Linked DNA regions of Mus musculus: all the other regions are reported to be linked to region 1. The links are microRNA targets in miRTarBase. Many come from high-throughput screens and were not tested one by one. Region 1 holds a microRNA gene; each other region holds the end of a gene's coding sequence.
What was found. The annotated mature microRNA mmu-miR-693-5p reads CAGCCACAUCCGAAAGUUUUC and lies in region 1 at 1,369-1,389, opposite strand. An mRNA with a match to its seed (bases 2 to 7 or 8) in the 3' UTR can be bound and repressed. Matches are read on the target gene's strand: a 7mer-m8 pairs with bases 2 to 8, a 7mer-A1 pairs with bases 2 to 7 and ends in A, and an 8mer does both.

Region 1 (4,208 bases):
CTTTTAATTAAATGTGATCATAAAAACAAACAAACAAACAAATACCCTAGGCTGGGTATGGTGACGGTTGGGAAGTAGACGGTCACAGTGAGTTAAAGACCAGCCTGGGTGCTCACTTCGGCAGCACATATACTAAAATTGGAACAATACAGAGAAGATTAGCATGGCCCCTGTGCAAGGATGACACACAAATTCGTGAAGCGTTCCATATTTTTAGGAAGACCAACGTGTGGATACTTCATTCCTCCCTAGAATACGGAATAAAATATCCATGGAAGGAGTTGCAGAGACAAAGTTTGGAGCTAAGACAAAAGGATGGACCATCCAGAGACTGCCCCACCCAGGAGTCTACCCCATAATCAGCCACCAAACGCAGACACTACTGCATATGCCAGCAAGATTTTGCTGAAAAGATTCTGATATAGCTGTCTCCTGTGAGGCTAGGCCAGTGCCTGGCAAATACAGAAGTGGATGTTCACAGTCATCTATAGGATGGAACACAGGGCTCCCAATATAGGAGCTAGAGAAAGTTCTCAAGAGCTGAAGGGGTCTGCAACCTTATAGGTGGGACAAAAATATGAACTAATCAGTACCCCCAGAGCTCATGTCTTTAGCTGCATATGTAGCAGAAGATGGCCTAGTCTGCTATCATTGAGAAGAGAGGCCCCTTGGTCTAGCAAACTTTACATGCCCCAGTACAGGGGAACGCCAAGGCCAAGAAGTGGGAGTAAGTGGGTAGGGGAGCAGGGAGGGGGGAGGGTATAGAGGACTTTTGGGATAGCATTTGAAGTGTAAATGAAGAAAATATCTAATAAAAAAAAGTGGGGGGAAAAAAACAGAATAAATTGACCTCTGTGACAATAACACAAAGTAATAAATGTCTGTAAACATGCAAAAAAAACCAAAAACAAAAAAACCCAAAAAACCAACCAAACAAACAAACAAAAAACCAGCCTGGATTACCAAGAATAAAATCTACTAGCCCAAAACATAATTAAAAACAGAAAAGGGGAGATGGCTTAGAGAGCAAAATGCTTGCTATGCCAGCAGTGCTGAGTGTACAGAAATAGACACAATCAAGGATTCTCTGGTCAGCCAGTCTCGCCAAACTTCCAGGTGTAGGTTCAAGTCGAAGACTGTGTCTCAAATAATAAGGCAGAGAATTAACAATGGAGATACCCTGACATCCGTCTCTGGCTTCTGCATGCACCCCTTGTCAGTGCACCCCCGCCCCCAATCTCGCCAAGGGCTGGCGGTACACTGCTTCAAAAGCAACAAAAAGAAAGAACCAAAAACTTTCCATCATTCCTGTATGCCGTTGCTGGGAGCATGCTCATTACAGCCACATCTGAAAGCTGCCCTAGCCAGGAAAACTTTCGGATGTGGCTGTAATGAGCATGCCTACAACTCAGGATTTCTACCCTCCCGTGTATAACCAACAAGAATATGCAAATATCTTACAAGTACACTTTCAAGATCCTGAGAGTAGCTTATTATTAAATTTACTGTATGCGTGTTATCAAAATTCTGTCCAAAAGCCCACCAGGATCAATAAGAAACAGCACAGCCACATAGCAGGACACCACATAGACGGGAAGAAGAAACAGACCCAGCTACACATAACTCATGGCTCCCACACCATGATGTTGAGCAATAGAAGTCAGAGACCAAGGACTGCACGTTTTTTAAATGTTTCACTTCTATAGTTTAAAAGTATCAACAAGCCTAGCCTGAGCACCTCTCATGTGAGCAGGTCAGTTCCTGTGACCTAGGGTGACGCTGCTGACTCTTCCATGTGTACATGAAACTCCCAGGTAGCTTGTTAACATTTACAGTCTGCAGTGCGTCCCTAATTCTGCTTTTTGAGCAAGGGCTCAGGTAGCTGCTGATGCCACAGGTCTCACAGTGAAGGCTGCACAAACTGAGGTGACAGACATCCTGCTCTCCTCTGGCTTGCTGAGCCATCGGATGCTTGGCCTACATGAGTTCAGTCATTGGTGAGAAATTCTACTAGTGCACATGGACACCATCTGGAGAAACACTACTACAGAAACCAACTGTCCCGCTCCCAACAAGCCGTTTCCTTCCTACTAAAAATTTAGACAAAATAACCTTAAAAGTAGGTATAAGCTGTAAGGAAATAAGAGAGGGCTGGGATGTACCTCAGTGGTACACTGTGGCCTCGGATGCACAAGGCCCATGTCAGTCTCCAGCAAACCAACAATAAAAAACTGCGCACACCTTTAATCCCAGCACTGGGGAGGCAGAGGCAGGCCGATCTTGAGTTTGAGGCCAGCCTGGTCTACAGAGTGAGTTCCACGATAGTCAAGGTTACAGAGAGGCCCTGTCTTGAAAACTAAAACAGGATACTACAACACTGTTATGCCTATGGAGAGAGCACACCTCACACAGGGAGGCCAACTGTCCTTAGAAAGATGAGCCTCCCTCTCAAAAGAGTCAGGACCTAATCCCACACCACCAGTGCAATGAGAAAGAGAAGATTAGAAACTTTTGAGATTCTTAAGGCTAAAATAAGGACAAAGACTATCTCTGACTCACCTTACAAGGGCAAGCAAATTGTCGAGAAGTCTGAGGATCTGCTCTGTGCAGGGGTTACGGAAGATGGGATTTCCACTGGGTGTGTAGCCCACCACAAAGCCCCCAGCTTTGGCTTCTTCTAGGTCGGAAGGCCAGCTAGTGCGTCTCATAACCCCCAGGATGCTGTACACACAAAAGCTCATCTAGAGAGAAGAAGGAAAAACACAGCCGGGATAAGGGGAGAGCACTGAGACACACATGCAGGGGGACAGCGCAGTGTCACCGACAGAGACGGGGAAGAAGCCTGTGTCTCCCACCCCAGCGAGACCTCAGTCCTTGTCCTTATGGTCCAGTCCAAGGGAGGTCTTCTCACTGCCGTTTCTCAGGACCCGTGGGAGGAAGCTCTGGAAGCTCCCTTCTCATTAGCATGTCTTTCCAGGGGTTTAATGACCCTGGGGTAGGGGTGGTTTGGATGAGCTCCACCACCAAGTATTTAAACTGCCATTTTTTTTTTTACCTGACCCTCCATCCAGGACTCCACAGCCTGCATCCTAACCCCCAACCCCTCATGCCAGGCTGGTCATGTGTCTTTCACCGTAGTGGCTTATCTGAGCACCGGTGCACTGGAAGGCCTCAGGGTCTCAAGATTTGGCCATCACCTAGGACTTCACATGCCAGCGAGCAATAGCAGGGGGGACTCACCCTGCCACCAAGTCTGACCTACTTCCTCATTACACCTCCAGTCTTCCGAGCTACTTAGGGATCCTTAAAGCCAAAATAATGACTTCATAGAAAAGACCATCTGCTCTGTTGTGAGAACTAACTCAAGAATTCAAGACTAAAGAAGAAAAGAAAGGAGAAGCTTAGGGCAGGAGAGACTCTTGGGTCTCTCAGCAGTACAGACAAAACAAATCTGAGAAACTTGATCAATGAAACACCCTAACTCCTGCCCGTGGCCAGTGAAACTTCCCATTCCCAGGAGAGTCTTACTCGTGCACGGTTCAAGCCACATGGATCCTCCACAGCTGGGTCACAGCTTTTCAGATCAGCACCCACATAGGCAATGAAGGAGTCAATATCTGACAGCGCTCTGAAGGGAGGGGAGGAAGAAAAGTTCTATCATGATCTTTGTTTAGACAGAGATTTACTTTCTTTTCAGCTAAGTGTATGTGCATGTCTGTGTGGGGTATGTATATGAGTACAGGTGACCTCAGAGGCCAAAAGAGACCATGGGTCCCCTGGAGCTTGTTACAAGCGGCTGTGAGCAAGTCAGCCTGGTGTTGGGCACTAACTCTGGTTGTCTGAAAAAGCAGTAAGCTTTATTAACCACTAAGCCATCCCTCCAAGCCCCTACCGTCATGATTAAAAAAAAAGAAAATGGGGGGAATGTGTGCTTGCATCTATGTATGTCTGTACACCACACAGCGCACAGTTCTTAGTTCCTCAGGGACCAAAAGAGGGCTCTGGATTCCTTGGGGCTGGAGTTACAAATGGTAGTGAGCTACAATGTAGGTGCTTGGAACTAGATGAACCTGGGCCTCTACAAGAGCAGTAAATGCTCTTTTATCAGCAGAGACATCTCTCCAGCCCTCCAAATTTTGTTTGCTCCTACGAGGCAGGGTTTGGTTGACTGGGAACTCAGAGACTGGTGTATGCCTCTGATGGCAAAG
Region 2 (4,208 bases), not on the chromosome of region 1:
GTCACCAATTGTGGGTCATGATAGCAAGGAGAATCAACGTGTACAAAACACACTAGATAGTTCAAACGAAACAGAAGAGCTAGAGGCCAGTAGACTGTATGAGGACAGTGGCTACTCATCTTTTACACAAAGTGACCGTGACGACGGCATCCTTATCCTGGAGAATTTCAGAAACAGTCCCCAGGCCCGCCTGCTGCCATCACAGAGCCTGGACCAGCATCCCAACAAAACCTGCTGCCTGTCCTGCATTGTCAAAGAGTGGTTTGCTCAACACTAAAAAAGAATGGCAAGCGAAACCCTAAAGTGGATCGAGAAATGCTGAAGGAAGTTATCACCAGCGGCAACTTTAGACTGCAAAGTATAATTGGCAAGAAAATGGGCCTGGAACACCTAGATCTCCTGGCTGAGCTCTCCCGGAGGGGATTCGTGCACCTGTTGGCTAACATTGTGATGAAGCTCGGGGCACGGACTTAATAAACCTGTCTAAAGTGAGCAGAATTTGGAAGAAGATACTGGAAAACAATAAGGGAGCGGTCCAGCTCTACAGCAAAACCATGCAGAGTCATTGAAAGCAGTAAGTTGTCACTACATGCTGCAACGAGAGGACATGTTGTGGGCAGACCTGCACTAACTTCTGTTCAAAGTCATCGTCGACCTGGGCACCTCCCAAAAAAAGATGTTCAGGTCAAGTCCTCCAGTCAGCGTGGTCAGAAAGGTTCTACCTACAGCTGGCACAACAAGTTCGTGGAGGTGGCAGACATTGAAGAACAAGGGAAGCCTCAAAGCCTGTGCTTGCTATAATTTCCCTGCAAAATATGACCACTATTTAGAGCGAGCAGTCTGCAAACGGGAAAGCTGTCAATTTGAATATTGTACAAAGTGTCTGTGTGCTTACCATAACAACAAAGACTGTTTGAATGGCAAGATCCTAAAAGCCAACTGTAAAGTGGGTCCTTTGCCTGTAACTAAAAAGAACTTACTAAGATCGTGACCTTTTAGAAGATCAACTGTAGATCTTGGCTACTTAAAACAAAAACCAAAAAACCCTCAAACTTTAAGAAAGTAAAAATAATTATGATGCCTTTTGTGAATAGAGGAACTAATTGTTCATAAAAGTGCCAAGATTGACTTATGAAAAACAAACAGGATGTCTATCTTAGATACTAAGATAGAATTGATTGGAGTTTTGGCAAGGGAGGGCTGTGGTCTGTTTGATGGATCTGAGAGCACTTGCTTCAGTGTCAGTATCTGAGATTTGCTTTACCAAATTTGTGTCATGCTTCTATCAACTTGACTCTGTCCATTTAAACGTCTGTCAATACGAGTTTTTTATATCTGTAAATATCTGTTTTCACGTGCCGAATAAAACAAGTACACATAATTTTGTTTACTTACAATAAAATTGTTAGAGGCTTAAAAAAAAGAAGTTAAATGGAGCTCATATTTATCTTACGGAACTAGCAATTTTCTTCCTTTAACCATAATCTACAAAATATAGTATTTTCATCAAGGCCTGAGATTATTAGGGTTAAAGGTGTCTGCTGCTGAAAAGATTGTTTTAAAAGGTTCCCCTATGAAAATGGCAAAAGTCAACTGAGTCCTCTTCTCCATGACAGTCTCTATAACACTGACTGCGTACCTTCAGAAGAGAGTATTACTGCAAACTTTGGTGGAAAGGAGACATCAAGGTGACAAAATAGCACACAGAATACACACATCCACACATCCATGTGCACGTGTATGCACACTCACGCACAGCATTTTGTAAAAATTAACACGGTATCATCACTTTATCAGCTCATCCTTCTACTCGTTGACTCCTTAGAGGAGTCAAAGGAAACCGCAGGTATGACCTATGGAAAACTGAAGAGTAACTGTAGGCAGCGGTTCCCGACTCTAAAAACCAACCAAACCAAACATTGTGCCACACACGTTAGGTGGAGATGGGAGAACTCTAGGCTCTAACTGAACTGAGAGCAACGGAACACCAATACAAAAGCGTCCCTTTACTTTTGCACAGGCTGTGCTGCAAAAAAATAAAGTCTGAAGTCGGGCTCTCCAGGTGGCAACAGGAATCTCTATGGCTCTCTTCTATGCACTTTGTGGAGAACTTCTGTCAAGTCTGCAAGTTCAAGGCTATTTACTCGGGGTTCTGCTCCACTCCATGCGTTCTACGTCTTAACAAAATTATTCATGATAGTGTTATCTGAGGCTTAAATGAGACAGCTTTAAGCTATTGCTCTCGAAAGTCAACAAGAAATCTGCTTGCTTATGCTGCACTGGTTCTGAGACATACACATTCTCTCTACATGAATACAACTCATTTACCAAATACTTGAGGAAAACAGTAACCAAAATGTTTCACTTTGTAACCAGAAAATTACAATTTCCTAAAATGAAGCTAAACATAAATATGTCTTTAGATAAAAATAGTAGCAATTATGACCCCAATGGCCAATATAAAGAAAAATCCTTATTTATTTCTGCAAAACGCCACTTGCTTTGAAATGAACTCCAGCCATCCCTGCATTTAAATTTCGTCACACGCAATGGGGAATGTTTATGTAGGCTACTACTGAGGCTTTATTTGCAACACTGTAACAGTCAGTCACTGAGCAACACAACTTGTTTTTTCTTTTTTCTTTTTCTTTTTTTTTAAAAAAAAAAGCCACATTTACACATGTTGAAACAGTGAATGCAACAGTTGTTCTACTGGTAACCACATGACAAAAGTGATGTCACACACCACAAATTTGCTGGTTCTCCTCATGTTCCCTATACCCAGGATTAGCATCTCCTAGGGATCAATGCACTTCTTATTCTAGTGTGGAATGGAATGAAGAAAAGGAAATGCATAAAACAAGGAAAGGCAAAAGAGTGATGTTCCCTCTTTAGCTTTGTAGCTGTGAAATATTTAATATCCCAATATGACATACATTCCAAGTTACCTGAGTTTAGACTTCAACTGAAGTACCTGAAGCTAGGCCATAGGGTGGGCACTGTGCAACTGTTGTGGCCATTTTTTTTTTTTTTTTGCATTGTATGTATTATAGAAGTTAGAAACAAACACCTGGATCAATTGTAAACATAATCCTGAAGTACAGTATTTTCCATAGGACAAAACACAGCAAGACATTTTCTACTTAGACAGGCAACTTTTTGAAATAGAGCTTATTCATACTGAAAATGTTGGAACAAAACACAGGACACAGTACTAATCTGTCAGACATACTATGAAATGCATAGTCTCCATTAAATGCTGAATGACACACACATTTTTGCAAGCATTACTGCTTTCCACAAAAACTGCTGAATATAAGTCGGTCCCTGCCAAGATCAGTGTTAATAGCTATTTTGTGATGCTAAGTACTTTGCTGTTGGTGATGTTGGGAAAGTTTGTCACTCCATGCAGATAGATGTCTGAGATCTCATTCCCAATCCATGGACCATGGGTGGAGACCAGCTCCCCCTCTGCTTTAGATCATCACATAGTTCTGAGTGGAGACGTGTTCCTCCACCTGCAAGTCCTGTAGGAGCTGCTGCTGCTGAGATGGCTGCTGGGCAGAGGGCTCCAGGGAGTCGGCTGTGCTGGTGTCATCAGAGAGAGATGTGAAGGAAACCCGGGAGGAAAGCTGCTCTACGGTCAGTGTTGCCAGAGCCGAGCTCTGGCCAGAATTAGGGGAGTTCTTGAGCATCAGGTCAGAGGCAGGTAAGAGAGGGCCTAGAAGTTTTACAGGACAGAAAGCTGATCCGGTTGGGATGAAATTAACCTTGTTTTTGTCAGGACATGAAAAGAGAGGGGCCGAGATAGGCTGACGAGACCTAAAAGCATAAAACAGAATTAGTTTTCTGATCACTATAATGTACTCTGTGAATAACTTGGAGTTTTATAAAACAGCTACAGTGTGAATGACAGGGTGAGGTATGTGCACACAGAGGAAAGACATCTTCCATAGCACAGGTCAGCTGGGAGATTATCACATATAGCGCACTGAAATGACACTTAAGGAAAAAACGATTTTCAGAAGGGCCAGGCAAATTTTTAGAGATCTTTGGTTTGCTTCCAATCATTGAGGAATATAAAAGAAATTCTACACTGTACTTGAGGTATTATACACATTTAGGATGAACATCACTAATAAGAAGTATAAATAGAAATGTTATTTATCATTTATTTGATTTTAAGCCCTTTCAACTTTTTCTGCATC
Region 3 (4,206 bases), not on the chromosome of region 1:
TCTCCACAGCACAGCTGCTTGTGACGGGTGAGCTGTGCTGTGGAGGTGGTGGTGGTGGCAGCGGTGGCGGTTGGATATTTCTCACCTCTTTGCTAACAAGGCTCCATGTGATTTTCTTCCATAGTTGAAAGTTTGCTGATTACCCCCTTCTTGCCTGTTGTAGCATTTGGACGGCCATTGCCAAAATTAGCTCCACAGTAAGTAAAATAGATTGTTCCTCTCTTTTCAGGTAGTTTGTACCTCCTTTTCAGGCTCCATGGAAGCCTAGATAGAATGGGGACACATGTGACTTAGGGCTAGCCATGATTGTCTGATGACAAGCTAGAAGCCAGGCGTCAGATCTCATTAGGAATGCTCTTTTTGGTTTTTCGAGACAGGGTTTCTCTGTGTAGCCCTGGCTGTCCTGGAACTCACTTTGTAGACCAGGCTGGCCTCGAACTCAGAAATCAGCCTGCCTCTGCCTCTCGAGTGCTGGGATTAAAGGCGTGCGCCACCACGCCCGGCTTTAGGAATGCTCTTTAATCTGAGGTAGATGACATTGCCATTTGGATGGTGACTGTGTCAGCTGACTACTGCCTTGGAAGTAGCCTTGTCACTTTGCTGTCTTTCTTTTTGCCAGGAACTTTGAACTACCCTGGTTGGATGAGCGAAGCCGTTGCAGGTTGGAGATCCAGAAGAAGCACACACCTCACCGGACCTGTAGGAAGTAGCTGTGCTGGCGGTAGCCTGTCTTCAGATAGTTGTAGCATGCTGTTCCGAGAGAATAGCAGAGACCTGTATGTGTGACCTGTGCCCTCATGTCTGTTATCATTCACTGGTAATGCCTTTCCATCCTCCCTTTATATTAGTTTTGTTTTCTTTACTCTGATTTCACAAAACAAACAGAAGAAAGCTCTTGCGTTGGCTGATTGTGAATTAGGGGTTACTGGAGCGGCTTTTCCCATTTTGGGGAGATGAGCTTGAGCTCGTCCTATAGGGGGAGACTTGGGGGTCCCAGGGGCCACTTGTAACTCACCTGCCTGCCTAACGGGGTAAAGGGCTCTTCATTAGCGTGTCTAAGATGGAGCAACCCTTCCTGTAGGAGCTGTGCCTGCCCTGACCCCGTGCCTCCCTGGTGCGCCTTCTGAATAGTGTGGGTGTAGTAGGTTTCACCGTGAACTTTAGGGCCCGAGGAATAGCATGAAGTAATGAAGCAAGACATTCCTCAGAGGGGGAAACTGCAGAGTTTTACCTGAAAGTTTGTTCTCTTTAAACTGCTCTGTGACAGTGGCATGTGGGAGGAGACGTGCAGCTGGTTCACTTTCTTAGTTGATGGGTAACTGAAGTTCCTTCCCACCCCCAACAAAGAAGATGTTTAGAAAAGAGATTGGGAGTGTAAGTTTCCAACTAGTTAACAGTGCTAAACCGATAGAGCTCTCATTTGGGGATGGCATGCCAGAGTCTGTAGAGATGTCTCTGTCATGTCACTTTTCAAGGATTCCTTAGTGGGGCTTGATCCTATTAGCCAAACTTTTGGTGGTGAGGTAGAGATTTGGGGTGGGGCCGGGGGTAGGGTATGGAAGGATATGCTTCCTCTGCCTGGCAGATGTCTACAGCTTGAAACAAACAGTTGTACCTAATGAACTTTATTCGTTTAGTGAAAATAGATTTATACACGAACCATCTTGTTTCCCATCTCCTGCCCTTGTTTTGTTACTGAAAAGATAAAAAAGAAAAAAAAAAAAAAAAAAGAAAAAAGAAAAAAAAATCAGGACAGCACTCCCAGGCCACTTTGGTCTCAGTGTAAGATCCCTGTTAACTATCTGGAAGAGAAATGGAGCCGAGGCCTGTGGGCTTCTGGATAGGAGTTGCCTTTCACTAGCCTTCAGGACTATTGTATAAAAACAAGTTGGGGTCTAATCTCTAGAAGGGTAGGGCTCTTATCCTTGAAGAGAACATGGCCCCAAATTATTAGCACTTTTAGAGGAGAAGCCAAGGTATGTAGGGTGTGTGGTTGGCCCATCTGCTGAGCATGCGAGAATGGCATTGCCACTGTGGGAAGAGACGTTCTCAGGGGCCTCCCACTGCTAAAGCTTTTTTGAGACGTTATCTTGCTCCCTGGGTTTGACTTTGAAAGGAATTATTCCAGCAGTCCATGTAGTGTTCTTGGATGATCTTGCTGCTCTTAATTCTCCTTTGTATGTGTGTGTGTGTGTGTGTGTGTGTGTGTGTGTGTGTGTGTGTGTGTGTGTGTGGCTCTGGGTTTTCACTTGTAACTCCATCTGCTTAGGAGCGTGGTCTCTCTGTGACAGAAGCTGCCATAAACCACCTCAGCGAGGATGTAGAGAGAAAGGGGACTTCTCCGCTAGGGGCTCTCATCTCACACCTTAGGGATGGGGATATAGCTAGAAAGATTGGGCCAGATTGTTGTTGTTGTTGTTGTTGTTGTTGTTTTAATGAGGCCAACTGTTTAGTGCTCCTACTCTGACCTGTGTTGTTTCTTTATAACATGCTCCTCAAAAATAATAACCTCAATCAGTTGTCTCTTTACTTCGTTTCTTGATCCCTCTCAGTTTCTTCTTGACAACGAGATTTGTCAGATTCCTAATTTGGGTATGGGTTAACAGATTTAACCACCAGGTTTCTGCCCTACACAGAGGAGTCCTCAGATCCTGTTTTTGCTAGACTGAGAGGAATCCATGAGGTGCTATCTGGCAGGACTGAAGTGGATTCTATTGCTTTGGTTCTCCTTTCCCTGAGGACCTACTATTTGGTTATGTCCTCTCCTAGATGTCCTTTGGTTTGGGGATGCTGAGGAGGCTGGGGTGAGAGCACAGTGAGGAGCGTGGGGAGTCACCTGCTTCCCCTCCGTGGGGTACAACACTGTGAGATTCAGTCTTCAGCAGAAAGAGAGGCCCTGCACTTCTCTGAAAACATAGTTCCTTATTCTTTCTTTAACAAAGTTTAAGCTAGTGTTAATAAATTAAAAGAGAAATTGCTTGTCTCTCCACCTCAGCTTTATTTTATGCCCGTTTCATATCGTTGTCTGTGCTGTAATTCATACTTTTGATACCATTTCTGATGTGTAAAGTCGGCTGTCTTGTAAATATCTTATAAAGAGTTCAATTGTAAATAAACTATTGTGGCCGTTAACTTTTGAACTTTTGCCTCATTTTATTAGATTTGTTGGGAAACATTATATCTGCTTGTATATATGAAAGAATGGGAAAGAATCTTCATATTAACCCAAGTGAAATAGAGAAATACATCACCGCCCTTCTAATCAGGGGCTCATCCATTGTGTCAGACTCTAGCGTGTGTCTGTATGTTCCTTTGTCCTGAGCCCTTCCTTACACATAAATGGCAAATTACAAAGCTTGTAGGCAAGACTTTATAGGTCACCTACTCAGTGTTTGATACATGATTTTCCCTGGATATCAGTCCAGATAAATGAAGTCCAGATCCGCTTGACCACAGTGTCTTCCTACACACATCTTCTGTATGCTTGAAAACCCTCATTGTAACTTGAAAGCACTGGCTCTTGTTTTGTGACTACAATGATATAGAAAGATCAATCTCTTAGCTCCTTACTTCTCTAATAAGACTCATGTGGGACCCCAGACCATCTGTCTATTCATGCTAAACATTGACCGTTTCTCACAACTGTTTCTCAGGAGGACTGCTATCCCAAGCACCCACACAGCCAGGAGAGCCCCAGGTTCAAGATCAGCCTAGCTTCCATGAGACCCTGTCTCAAAAAACAAAAGAAAGTAGGATCCAGAGCAGGATTACAGGTATTGTCCCCTCATAGCCTGCATCTGGGGAGGCTGAAGCTGGTGGGTCCCGAGTGATGAAAAGGCTAGCTTGAGGTCATAGATTTTCTTAAAAAAAAAAAAAAAAAAGAAAAAAGAAAAAAAACATCCCAAGCTGGATTCCGACCAAACAACTAAAGGACAAAGTGGCATGCTATCCTTGTCCTTATTTAGACACTCAACTTGGCAGTCTTGCTGCACCATTTTAGATTGTGATGGATAAGATTCTTATGCCTTTCACACTTATTAAATCATGCATCCTCCATTTTGAGTTCAGGCAGTTGTTTCTGGAGCTGAACTCCATGATACATTTGGCCACCTGTCACCAGTTGAATCAGTCCCTGCAGACAGTCATGATTCCTTGGAGTCTCATACTGTTTATAGATCTGGTAAGCAGTGGGGACCTTTAGCTATT

Region 2: the mRNA of Glcci1 is a reported target of mmu-miR-693-5p. Seed matches in the 3' UTR shown: 7mer-m8 at 2,667-2,673.
Region 3: the mRNA of Msl1 is a reported target of mmu-miR-693-5p. Seed matches in the 3' UTR shown: 7mer-m8 at 2,231-2,237.

The regions. Positions count from the first base shown.
Region 1 is chr17:46,228,732-46,232,939 of GRCm38, reverse strand. Mir693 (microRNA 693) reads right to left here and starts at 1,409; the gene lies at 1,321-1,409. Xpo5 (exportin 5) reads right to left here. Exons shown (of 32, transcript NM_028198.3): 19 at 3,529-3,628; 20 at 2,560-2,741. Gm22474 (a small nuclear RNA gene) reads left to right here and starts at 109; the gene lies at 109-215.
Region 2 is chr6:8,592,521-8,596,728 of GRCm38, reverse strand. It overlaps Glcci1 (glucocorticoid induced transcript 1), which reads right to left. Exons shown (of 8, transcript NM_133236.3): 8 at 1-3,822. The coding sequence ends at 3,477. It also overlaps the pseudogene Gm16042. Among named protein-coding and RNA genes, the nearest start is that of Gm35621, 29 kb to the left of the region's middle.
Region 3 is chr11:98,804,723-98,808,928 of GRCm38, forward strand. Msl1 (male specific lethal 1) reads left to right here. Exons shown (of 9, transcript NM_028722.3): 8 at 125-197; 9 at 620-3,137. The coding sequence ends at 710. The region is part of intron 1 of Gm12359 (predicted gene 12359); the gene reads right to left. Among named protein-coding and RNA genes, the nearest start is that of Casc3, 3.0 kb to the right of the region's middle.